3 linked regions of the Caenorhabditis elegans genome follow. The protein of the gene in region 2 purifies or fractionates together with the protein of the main gene of each other region. This does not show direct contact. Each region holds a gene or a part of one and is shown on either strand. Other genes may lie near its edges.

Evidence for each region. Proteins that work in one complex are often made in the same cells at the same time.
Region 1: the proteins of VF13D12L.3 (region 2) and C07D8.6 fractionate together in Caenorhabditis elegans (co-fractionation; one large-scale study listed by BioGRID). This does not show direct contact.
Region 3: the proteins of VF13D12L.3 (region 2) and acbp-3 fractionate together in Caenorhabditis elegans (co-fractionation; one large-scale study listed by BioGRID). This does not show direct contact.

Annotation. Positions count from the first base shown.
Region 1 is NC_003284.9:7,339,997-7,343,327, forward strand, and holds C07D8.6 (NADP-dependent oxidoreductase domain-containing protein), read left to right. Parts: upstream 1-1,512; 5' UTR 1,513-1,539; coding exon 1,540-1,782; intron 1,783-1,833; coding exon 1,834-2,243; intron 2,244-2,290; coding exon 2,291-2,545; intron 2,546-2,598; coding exon 2,599-2,644; 3' UTR 2,645-2,784; downstream 2,785-3,331.
Region 2 is NC_003280.10:11,704,409-11,709,064, reverse strand, and holds the start of VF13D12L.3 (Malate dehydrogenase), read right to left. Parts: upstream 3,057-4,656; 5' UTR 3,021-3,056; coding exon 2,862-3,020; intron 2,483-2,861; coding exon 2,356-2,482; intron 2,306-2,355; coding exon 2,055-2,305; intron 1,758-2,054; coding exon 1,605-1,757; exon of another isoform or gene 1,410-1,604; coding exon of another isoform or gene 1,259-1,409; intron 1,157-1,258; coding exon of another isoform or gene 966-1,156; intron 890-965; coding exon of another isoform or gene 760-889; intron 715-759; coding exon of another isoform or gene 441-714; intron 390-440; coding exon of another isoform or gene 1-389. Other genes in the region: fcmt-1 (Cyclopropane-fatty-acyl-phospholipid synthase), read left to right, coding at 1-389, 441-714, 760-889, 966-1,156, 1,259-1,409; xpf-1 (DNA repair endonuclease XPF), read right to left, coding at 3,785-3,907.
Region 3 is NC_003284.9:10,901,757-10,905,635, reverse strand, and holds acbp-3 (Acyl-CoA-binding protein homolog 3), read right to left. Parts: upstream 2,365-3,879; 5' UTR 2,356-2,364; coding exon 2,295-2,355; intron 2,212-2,294; coding exon 2,091-2,211; intron 903-2,090; coding exon 809-902; intron 725-808; coding exon 650-724; 3' UTR 548-649; downstream 1-547. Other genes in the region: F47B10.8 (MARVEL domain-containing protein), read left to right, coding at 1-44, 95-249. UniProt on the Caenorhabditis elegans protein: Binds medium- and long-chain acyl-CoA esters with very high affinity and may function as an intracellular carrier of acyl-CoA esters.

The sequences.
Region 1 (3,331 bases), on a different chromosome or scaffold from region 2:
AGTCTTTTGGGCCCGTCAAAATCTTTTGGTCTTACTGGTACTGTATAGGTATATATTTAATTGTTCATTTTTGAAATGCTGCTTCGTGGTCCAAATAACCTGATACCTTGATATGGATATTTGAAATGAATGTTGCAAATTTAGAATAATTGAAAACCAACAACTATTATTTTTGTTTCAAAGTAAACTATTAATTTCACTGTATTGAATTTCTGTTTGTATATGAACACAATACAAATGCGATAATTTCAGAATTTAAATGAATAAAAAAAGTAAAATCAGAGGAAAAATGGTATCAAAGTCGGAAAACGCACTGATTTTTTATCAAAAAAATATCCTTATAGAAAAATGGAACAATTAAAATTGGTTTTTCCTGTTGTCTCACTTTTGAGTATATTTTCTAACGTTTTTCAAGTAAAACGGATTCAAATTAGAGTTAAAATCACAAAATTCATTTTCAGTGCGATTAAAATCCTGAATCGTTGTTGCGCAGTGTTTTGTTACCCATCCTACACTCTCCCTTTTTTGCCCGCACTCTCTCCACGCGCCTTTTCTTCAAAAATATTGCGCGTCAAATCTGTTATGTGATCTGCATTATGCGCAAACTGTGCAATCACTGCAAGAAAGAGGAAACCGGGAACATTTTTTTGAACGCGGGAACGGAACGGGGCGTGGCTTCCTTGGTCAGTATAAAAGGGAAGAAATCTGGGGCAACTGACATTGTTTTCCATTTTTCCTGCTTATTTTTTCCTTTTTTACGTTGCCGTGACCTCTCTCTCTCTCGCCTATCCTCTCCTTGGCACTCACTTTCCCGGTGCTCATGAATCAAATCATGTTCAAATTAGCTGGTAAAAATGCTGCTTGAAAATAAAATAAAACTAACAGTTCTAGAATGTAGATTGATATCTTACCCTTATCAGTAGACGTTTATAAAATGCGCTTAATTTCGCCTACTACAAACGCACCTCCTAAGTAACACTTTTGAAACACTGAAAATGATACAAATTTCCATTTAAAATTTCGTTATCTCCGAAATACGTCCACGGTGCATGCTTCGAACAATAAAATGTCATCATTTTTTGACCCACAGATTCTCTCTCATTCTCCCCTAACCTCCTGCGTATCATTTATATTTTGCTGGCAAACTATTGCATTTCGGGAACAAGATACACCATTGGTCTCTCTCAAACTGATTCCTACCGACAGCTGCTATCGCTTGATAAAGATGATTTTTTTTGAATATAAATACCGTGAGGCATAAGGTAGATTAAATCAGCGCCCTCAACCCTTTTTTGGAAATAACTTGAATAGTGTCAAGGTTTGTAAGATTTTCATCAGCCCTCCCTCCCCTCTTAGCATTCTCTATTTCTATTTCCGTCTGATCAAATATAGCACAATCGTCTGTTAGTTATCAAACTTTGGACAATTTTATTTGCCGATTTTCTTTTACTCTATACTTTATCACCTCGTTTTGTTCTCAAAAATTTCACATTTCTATTTTTTCAATTTTAGAATCTCCTCAACACTCGGTCCATCACCATGTCTTCCGCAACTGCTTCCATCAAGCTTTCCAACGGAGTTGAGATGCCGGTCATCGGTCTCGGAACCTGGCAGTCAAGCCCCGCCGAAGTCATCACCGCCGTGAAGACCGCCGTCAAAGCTGGCTACCGTCTCATCGATACCGCATCCGTATACCAAAACGAGGAAGCCATCGGAACTGCTATCAAGGAGCTTCTCGAGGAGGGAGTTGTCAAACGTGAGGAGCTGTTCATCACTACTAAGGTTTGCAAAAATAGCATCTTTATATTATTTTATACAAATCCGGTTTTACAGGCTTGGACTCACGAGTTGGCTCCGGGAAAACTGGAGGGTGGACTTCGCGAGTCCCTCAAGAAGCTTCAACTGGAGTACGTCGACTTGTACCTTGCTCACATGCCAGCTGCATTCAACGATGACATGAGCGAGCACATCGCTTCGCCAGTGGAGGACGTCTGGCGTCAGTTTGATGCAGTCTACAAGGCCGGACTTGCCAAGGCTGTCGGTGTCTCCAACTGGAACAACGATCAGATTTCTCGTGCTCTTGCTCTTGGATTGACACCAGTTCACAACTCCCAAGTCGAGCTTCATCTCTACTTCCCACAGCACGACCACGTCGATTTCTGCAAGAAGCACAATATCTCGGTCACTTCCTACGCCACTTTGGGAAGCCCAGGACGTGTCAACTTCACTCTTCCAACTGGACAGTAAGTTTAACAAGTAGCTTGTTCCTTTTCTCAACACCTATTTGCAGGAAATTGGACTGGGCTCCAGCTCCATCCGACCTTCAAGACCAAAATGTGTTGGCTTTGGCTGAGAAAACCCACAAGACTCCAGCCCAGGTGCTCCTCCGCTACGCTCTTGATCGTGGATGCGCAATCCTTCCAAAGTCGATCCAAGAAAATCGCATCAAGGAGAACTTCGAGGTGTTCGACTTCTCTCTCACTGAAGAGGACATTGCCAAGCTCGAGGAGAGCAAGAACTCGCAGCGTCTCTTTCTTCAAGATTTGTAAGTTTATAGGACAAAATGACTGAAACTTTAGTAACCCAACTCTTTTTCAGTATGACCGGACACCCCGAGGATGCCTTTGCTGCTGAGCGCAAGTAGATCACCGTCATCCACAACTGGTTCTTCGTTCATCATTTCAAAGTTCAATTTCCCATTCACATTCGTCACACGTTCTCTTTCCTTTTTGGCATGTATTTCTCAGCATGATTGCTTTATTTCAAAAATAAATACGTTGATCTAAATTTTGAACCCCAAAAAACATCACATAAGTCTGTCATCATCTTTGCCAGCCTGTCAGCCCTACCTTCCTTTTTTCCAGTCGAAAAAAAAACTCGAGTCTCCTACTCTGTGAGATAGTTTGGAAATCCCTAGCTCATCTGCGAGGTTTGGACAGAATTTTTCACAATTTGTGGCTCTTCGCTGTAGAGAATTATGCACAGCTACTTTGATGAGATGCATCCAATAGAGCCTGCAGTCGTTCAACATTATAAGAGCCACCAATTTTCAATTGTGGCGTCACCATATTTTGTCTAATTAAAGACGGCCCTGATTGTGAGACATATTCTGAGTTGTACCGTTTCCCTTCAAAAATAAGAATAAGCAATCAATTTGTTTGGCAAACTCATACTATTCGAGGGCTAATCGTAATATTCATTCGAATTTCTCAAGTTTAAGTTCTTAGAAGGTAAAAAACATAGCGATGAAATATTTTTACAACGCACAAACTTGTTTTCTTCTCAAAATTCTCATATTTTGAAATTTCCATGTAAGTTCTGGTAACTTGAA
Region 2 (4,656 bases):
CCACAACCCCATTCACTTCTGCTGGCTCATGCTTTTGGATCCGAAGATGGGACTCGGCGAGACGTACATGGCGGACGACTGGTCGTGCTCACCAAATCCCACCGAATTCCTTCGTTTGTTGATTCGCAGTAAGAAGCAGACTCAGGCGGCATACAAGGCTCAGTACGGAGATAAGCCGAGAACTAAGTCGTTCGGATCTCACCTCACTCAGTTTTCCATCGATGGGGTTCGGAAGATCGCGAAAGTTGTCAACTACGTCCAGCATTGGCTTCTCGAGAACACAATCTCCCAGAGTGCTCGGAACATCCAGGCTCATTACGATCTTGGAAATGACATGTTCAAGCTGTTCCTGGATAAGTCTATGACCTACTCTTCGGCTCTTTTTGATGGTTAGTGTAACAGATTTAAAAAAAATTAAATTTTCAATTTTCAATTTTCAGAAGTCAAACCAGTCACTGATGTGGACTTTGTGGAGCTCGAGAAGGCTCAATACAAGAAAATTGATCGTCTCATCGATCAACTCGAGTTGAAGGCCGACGATCACGTCCTGGAAATCGGGTGTGGTTGGGGAGCTGCTGCAATTCGTGCTGTTCAGAGATCCGGCTGCAAGTGGACTGGTATCACAATCTCTAAAGAACAACTCGAGTGGGGACAGAAGAAGGTGGTGGAGGCAGGGCTTGAGGGACGGATTGAGCTGAAGTTCCAGGATTATCGGTGAGAAGCTTTCTGTTTTAAATTTTTAAATTTGAAATATTGCAGATTGGTCAAGGAGAAGTACACCCGCGTCGTGTCAATCGAGATGATCGAAGCTGTCGGTGAGAAGTACCTTCCTCAATATTTCCAAATCATCAACGATGTTTTGACCGATGGTGGAATCGCCGCTCTTCAGGTAGAGATGCAAGAAAACACTTGAGAAAACGTGTTAGACTTTCTCAATTCATCACATCAAATTTTCCAATTTTCAGGCCATCACTTGTCCAGACGCCTATTACGATCAGTACCGTTCGTCTTCTGATTTCATTAAGAAGTACATCTTCCCTGGAGGTCATCTGCCATCGCTCGGTGCCATTTCGCAATCCCTCCCGAAGACCTTGAAACAGACCGATCTATTCAGTATGGGACATCATTATTCGATGACTTTGGAGCATTGGTTCTTGTAAGTAGTGTAGTTCAGATTGGGGTAGACACATATTCACCTGCCTGCCTAGGCGGATTTTGTGCCTACTTTCCTGAATCCTAAGCAAGTTTTGAATTCCAGCGCCTGGATGAAAGCCAAGGATGAGATCGAAAAGATGAACTTGCCATTCGGCTTCCATCGCAGATGGCAGTTCTACTTCTGTCTCTGTGCGGCTCTCTTTGCTCACGATCACATCGATGTGGTGCAGCTGACATTTAAAAAAAACGTCTAAACATCCCCCTATTCAGTACCCTCTTTTTTTCTGTGAACCTCCTGTTTATTCCGTATTTGGCCCGATCTCTAGTCGTTTTAGGCTTTTACTGTTTTTCTCGCAGACTATTTCAGAGTTCCGCTGTACTCGTTTCAACAATTTCCCCCACACTCCCCACCCGTCGCTTTTTCCCCAATTGAGAATTCCAATTAATACCTTTCCAATAGCAACTGTTGTTGAAGCCATATCAAGTACAAAAGAGTCATCACCAGTTCCAGGAGCTGCTAAACTGATTGGATTAGTTCCGAGTGCGGGGACGGCGCTTCTGGTCGGGAAGGAAATTGGCGAGGTGTTCGTCATGGACATTCCCTGAAAATTGAGTTTTTTATTGGAATATTTCTCAAGAATTCTGCGAGTTTTGCTTGAAACGATACATTTTTGCTAACTGTGCGCCTTTAAAGATTACTGTAGTTTCAAACCCCTCGTTTTAAAAGTAGATCTTATGTGCGATATTTTAGTTTTTAAATAGATAAGTATGTAGTTTTTTTATCGAAAAAATACAGAAAATTCCGCAAAATCAAGATGCTGAAGTTACAGTACTCTTTGAAGGCACACACTCTTTTGCGTGTCGAGACCTCTAATATTTTTGGAGTAAAAAACCCTCACCAACATTCCCTTCTTCATCGCTCGCAACGCGTACCATCCAGCAATACCGTAGTGATTGGATCCTTTCGCTACAACCCATCCGATTCCTGCATTCTTAGCCTTCTCAATTGCCAAATCCATACAGAAATTTCCGACGACTGGCCCGAGAAGGTTGTTTCCATCGACCCACGCGGTTCCGGCTTTTTCCTTCAGAATAATCGGCTCCCCGTCTCCTTTGCACACGTTTTGTTCGATATCTCGGACGTACATGTCTGGAATTATATATTATTAGAGAGAGAGAGAGTTTTTAAAAATCATGTACCTAATCTATTGAGCCCGTGAGAGTAATGTCCTCGAATGTCTCCTTCTAGAAGGACGAGAGCGAGCTGTGTGGCGTGGGATTCGGTTGCTCCGACTTTTGTCATACATTCCACCATGAAGCGTTTCATCTGAAAAATTGCGCTTTTGAATTTTTTAAATAGAAAAAAATTGTGATTTTTCACTCGAAATTGAGCTACAGTACCTTTTTGTAATTTTTAATTTTTTGCTATTTGCTGGTACGGTAGCTGAACAGTCTCGCTCGCGTCAGGACCTAAGGCCGTATTTTTTCTTGTTAAAATTGAACTTTTTGCGGGTAGATAATATTTTTTTAATTGCATGTTCTCATTTGGGCTAATTTTTATTTGTTTTAACTGGAAATTTTTCTTTTGACAAATTCAAATTCTTTCACCGAAAATATCGCTTCAAATTTTTAAGAACTGGGATGCCCTAGGGCTAATTTCTGACTGAAATATTCAAATTTACACTGGAAATACCCAAAAAATTCACCTCATCCTTCGCCACGACACTTTCCTCGGGAGCAGCCATATTATCGTCGGTAGTAGAGTAGAATCGCGCGTTCTTGCCAACTGAATTGACCGCTATCACTGCCTGATATCGACTGATATGTCCTCCAGTAAACACCAACGCACGTTGTAACAAATTCATTTTTATTTTCACTGTATTTTGCTGCTGCGGCTGCCTCTGTGAAAATTGATTCGATTGTTTCTGTTTCCTTTTCCAATTTTGATAATAATCACGTTGCCATCAACTAAACAGTGCAAAGTGGTCAGTTATCATTGACCACTTTGCCCAGTGGGATCAAAACGGCAATTCTAAAAAATGATCTATTGCACCATGTTGTTACAACATTTGTTATTTAAAAAAGTATAGAAAATCACTTGATTTATCTGAAATAAAATTTATTTCAGCTGGCATATTTGTGAAAATGTTCCGAAAATCGAGCACTTTCCCAATTATTTCAACTGAAATAAATGTCATTTTCAGATAAATTAGGTGATTTTTCATATTTTTGAAGAAAAAATGTTCCGAAAATATGGTGCAATATGATCACTTTGTAGAATTGACCCCTAGATCAAACCCTTACTAGAGAAAGCTATCATATTAATTTCGAAATTTTTGGGATGGTGCAGAAGAAAGTATAAACATTTGATGGTAATTTGAGAATCTAGAAGTTGGATAATATAAATTAATGTGAAATTAGAACTAAAATAACGTAAACCAAGTGTCTAGCTACTACAAACTATAACAAAAGTATGACATTTGGAGCATTTGGAGCCTCTGAAGTTCAATGAAACAAATTTTGAAAAATTGAAAAATTAAAAAATGGAAAAATCAATTGAAGAATGAAATTTATAAAACAGAATGCAGTATGAGTAAATATTATTTGATGTGTCTAGTGATGACCGGTGTTATTTTCTTCCGAAATTGAATGTTGACAGATCTTTGATGAAATCGGCAGAGGTGGATGGAATGAAATCGGAGAGATGAGATGCGGTGATGTTCAATGAGAAGAGATCAGCGAGGGTTTTGATCTGGAAAAAATTGGAATTTTTCGATTTTGTGCAGATGAATGTTTTGACTAAATATTTAGTTTTTGGTTTTTAAAAACCTTTTTTTCTATAAAAAAATTTCAATTTTCAGAAATGTTTTTTTTTCAACTTTTCAGATAGATTTTTCGGCATAGCAATAACGAAAAATTATTATTTTTAGATTTTTGAAATAAAAATAGTTACTCAGTTTTTTTTGAAAATTTTCTGAAAAAAAAAATCATATTTTGAATTTTTTTTTGGTATTTCTAAAAAAATAATGTTTTTTTTTGAAAATTATTTTCTATTCTATACAGTTGCTTTTTTTAGTTAAAAAATATTTTTAAAACGTTTCAGATAATTTTTCCAAAAAGAAAATATCGAAAAATGAGAATTTTTATATTTTTTGGCATAATAATAGTTACTCCGCTTTAAAAAAAAAAAGGTATTAAAAAAAAGTTTTTTCTTGAAAATTAATTCCTATTCTAGAGACGTTTTCTTGAAAAAACGAGAATTTAACAGTGTTTTTGACTTTCAAAAAAATTATATTTTTAAAAACATAATTTTGGTTTTTTTTTGAAATTTTGAAAATAGATTTTTTAACATTTCAAAAAGTTTTTTTCCATAAATTTTTTTGAAAATCGAAAAAAAAACTTCAATGATTTTATTTTCAAAAAATCAACGTTTTCAGATTTTTTCCGGATACAATTTAAATTAAATTTAAAAACAATTTCTGCCTTTTTCAGATTTTTTCC
Region 3 (3,879 bases), on a different chromosome or scaffold from region 2:
AAATCCAGATGAGTATCACTTCCGATCAAGAGAAAGTGTTACCAGTGAGAACGATTATACTACTTGTGAATATTTATACTTCAAAATTTTTCAGCTGCAATCCTGGTCACACTGGGTGTGATGGCTGCCATGTCGTTTGTTATAGTCATAAATTGCATATTTTTGCATGTTGTCTACCGCACTTTTCAGTTTTTTGCATACCAGGAAGACAAGAAGAGAGAGGAAATGGATAAAAAGGAACGCTTATAACCTTTGCAATGTTTTATCTGAAATGTTTAACCTCGTGCTTTCTATTGAACTATCTCTTACACACAAACATTATGTTGATCTCTTATGTATTCCGAATTCATTTAATTTCCTTCTCGGGTGCTCGTCTGATTTTCATTTTTATTTTATATTGTGGATTTAAAATTTATTCACAGTTTCAACTCTACTGCAATAAAAATTATGTATACATACAATGTTCAAATTTCACTATTACAAATGCAATTCATAGTTTTCATTTTCATGCAAGATTCTTCCAATGTACAGTAAAACTATAGAGTTATTCAATTTACAAAATTAATTCATATTTATTTAGTATCAAGAAGCAATACAAATAATTATATTGTTCGAAATTTGAAAAAAAAATGTTTATGATAATTAAGATTTACTTTCCAATGAGAGCGAGGTTGGTTTTGATGACTGGGTCAATTTGTTCAAGCCAAGCGGCAACATCAAGTTCCTGAAAACAAAGTAATTCTGAACGTAACTACTAGTTTCTGCTACAAAAACTTCAAACGTTTGCCGACAAGACCCATTCACATACCTCGGCGATTTTGTCAAACATGTCGTTTAGAGCCTTGATATAACGCTCTTTAGCTTCATCTTGAGACACTCCTTCGAGCTCTTTCCATGAGTCCCTGGAAATCGGATTAACTGGGGTTGGTCAGGAAAATGCCAGTAAATACTGTGAGCCAGTTGGAATTAATTGTTATTTTTACATGGCTTCAACATCAATAGTCGCAACGTACCATTTTCAGACAAGTAGTTAAACTATTTTGAGTTATTGGAACTGACCCATCTAACTTTTTCAATTACTATTGTACATTTTATTAGAAATGTGTACTATTAAAAGTGCACTAAAAATCGGTGTTTGAAAAATTATACCAGCAGTCTGTTTAGAATTGCGATCTTAGCACTCCACACTTTTACAACTTTTTTTTTAGCGCCAGCCAATGAAATAAATAGAAAACATTACAAGATATACTACCTTTTTATGGATGTTTCAAAATCACGACTGTTATAATTAGATACGATCACTCGTTCTTTTGAAACTTTCTGATTTTAAATAATACTTGTATTTAAATTGCCTTTTTTGTATTATTGCCTTTTAGAATAAAACCTTCACTATCGCCAGCATTGAAATAATGTTCCACCAACACATATGTTTGATGGGTTCGTTCTTTTTATTCATGAACGAGTACTTGTGTAATATCAGTACACCAAAAAATCTTTTTAATTTTTTTCAAAAATACAATATGAGTTCTTTTTGAATTTTAGACTTAGGAAAAATCTAAACCTAAAAATGAATTGAGCATTAAAATGGTTATTTACGTTGTGGTCATTTTGGAATTTTATCCATTGCATACATTGTGGGATACAGTAACTACACAAGTACCCATGAACGGAATTATTTTTTGAATCCATGTTTCTACAAACGTGAAAACATTAATACAGGCTTCGTGTTATTTTTAAGGGGTATTTCAAACATAGTTTATGGTTTTGAAGAGACCAATGATCAGAAACGACACTCTACATTTCTTCAAAACTTTTTATTGATAATTTCACAATCATCCGTTCCTACTCGTTTTTTGTGGCACCATATTCGAAGAAAATGATAATTGCATCGTTTGCAGACACAACGCCGACATTTGTTGCATAGCGATAAGTTAATATATATTGCGGTCAAAAAATCAACACACATAACTCACGCAATTCTGATGCAGTTTAGCTAGCCACGCGGTCATGACTCATTTGTCAATGAAATAAGAAAAAAAGAATTCCCCTTTTTCGAATCAGACAAAGGAATAATGAAAAAAAAAACTGACCACTTCTTTCTCTCGATGATGGAGAAAATTCCTGGTCTATCGGTGTTCACATCTCCGATAGAAGCCTGTTTGAACAAAGAGTAAAAGGTAAGCTTCTGATCATTGCTGGTGGCAACTGGTCCTAGAAAAATTGTAAATTTAGCTTTGAATCAACTACATCATAGCATAGTTTGTAGCATTGTAGCGAATCAAAGTCCAACGTACCTGTTTTTGGAAGTTTCTGGATGATTTCCACAGCAGCGTCGAACTTTTCTTGAAGAGACATTTTCTGAAATAAGAAAGCGTTGAAATTTTTAGGTTAATGAATAGATTAAAAAGATTAAAAAGTTCGAAGCGGTTTTCAAATTGCAAATTGATTGACTTTTTCAAAGGCCTTGAAATAAACTACACCTATTTACTTAGTTATCAAACACGGTTTAAATCAAACAAGACATCAAAACGAGACTAGAATCCAAAAAGTACAAAACAGGGAGAACTGAACGTGAAGAAATCTGTGAGTAGTGCCGTTGGGCGCCGTCAGCCCGATCGGATTTACAAGGACAAACGGGCTGCTGCTGTTGACCTAAATCTTTTCCCTGGATATAAAGATGACCCATTCAGTATCGTGTCTTCCCGTGAACAAGACGTCATCTTTTTATCATTGGCGCTGGTCTTCGGGAAGGACAGTACAATTAATTGTCCGGAAAACTGCGGGTGAGAGATTACACTCATTTAAAGGATACCATTGGAGAATGGAATAGGATAATATCATTTTGAGAAAAAAATAGAATAAATTGAACTCAGGTATTTGACAATAGTAAAAACGTGTATTCTTATTGTTAGAATTTACTTCTAAATTGAAATTTATGTGGTTGCTGTACATCAAAAAATGTTCAAAAACCATATGAAATATTTCAAATCTTTTTAATATAAAATGTAAAAAAATTCTTTGTAGAAACTTCAATATACTTTCAAAATAAAATACACACGTACCAAAATGTATTTCACTTTTCTTGTAATATTCAGAGCATAACAAAAAGTGGGAAACAATCGAAAATAATAATAGAAAATAATCAAAGTTTACCATAAACTTCAAAAAAAAGTATAATATATTTATTTTATGAATTCACCGATTGTTGCCTTATTTTCTCTGTTGTTCGTATATTTTGCAAACTTTATGAAGACACCCAGTTTAAAAGAATTGAATGTTTTTTGAAATTTACGACTGTTTCCGATAAGTTACTCGTTTCAGACAGTTTAATTAAATCTTCAATTTTGCCAAATGCTTATTTGGATTACGTACTTATTAGTTTTTTTCTCGGATAAACAAGGAAAATACCTAGTTTGGAGTATAAATAATTTTTTAAACGTTAAATTTTTAGTAAATGTTTCGTAGATGAATTTTTGTCCCTCATAATGCTTGACGGTCGTCTTTTTTCAAGAATTACAAAAATCACATTAAAAGTTGAAAATAGGTTTTTAAAATATACAAAAAGATCATGACAAACACAATGATACAGACATCACATTAGATTTTTGACTATACAACGTGTTATCTGATAAGAACATGGAATTCAAGTTGCGTAGCTGCAGCAAACATTAGTGGCATGACGTTTTACTGGAAAGATAACCTTCCATGTTACTGCGACTAGTTTCAAATTTGGTGCTTAATGACCACGTGAGACTTTGTTGCGTGTTTTTATTTTGGTGGCTATGTTTTTCAAAAAATTTACCTGTCTGACAAATAGTAACAAACACATGGTAACTGATCAACCGTATTTATAAGATTTTAGAATTTTCAACAAAGTTA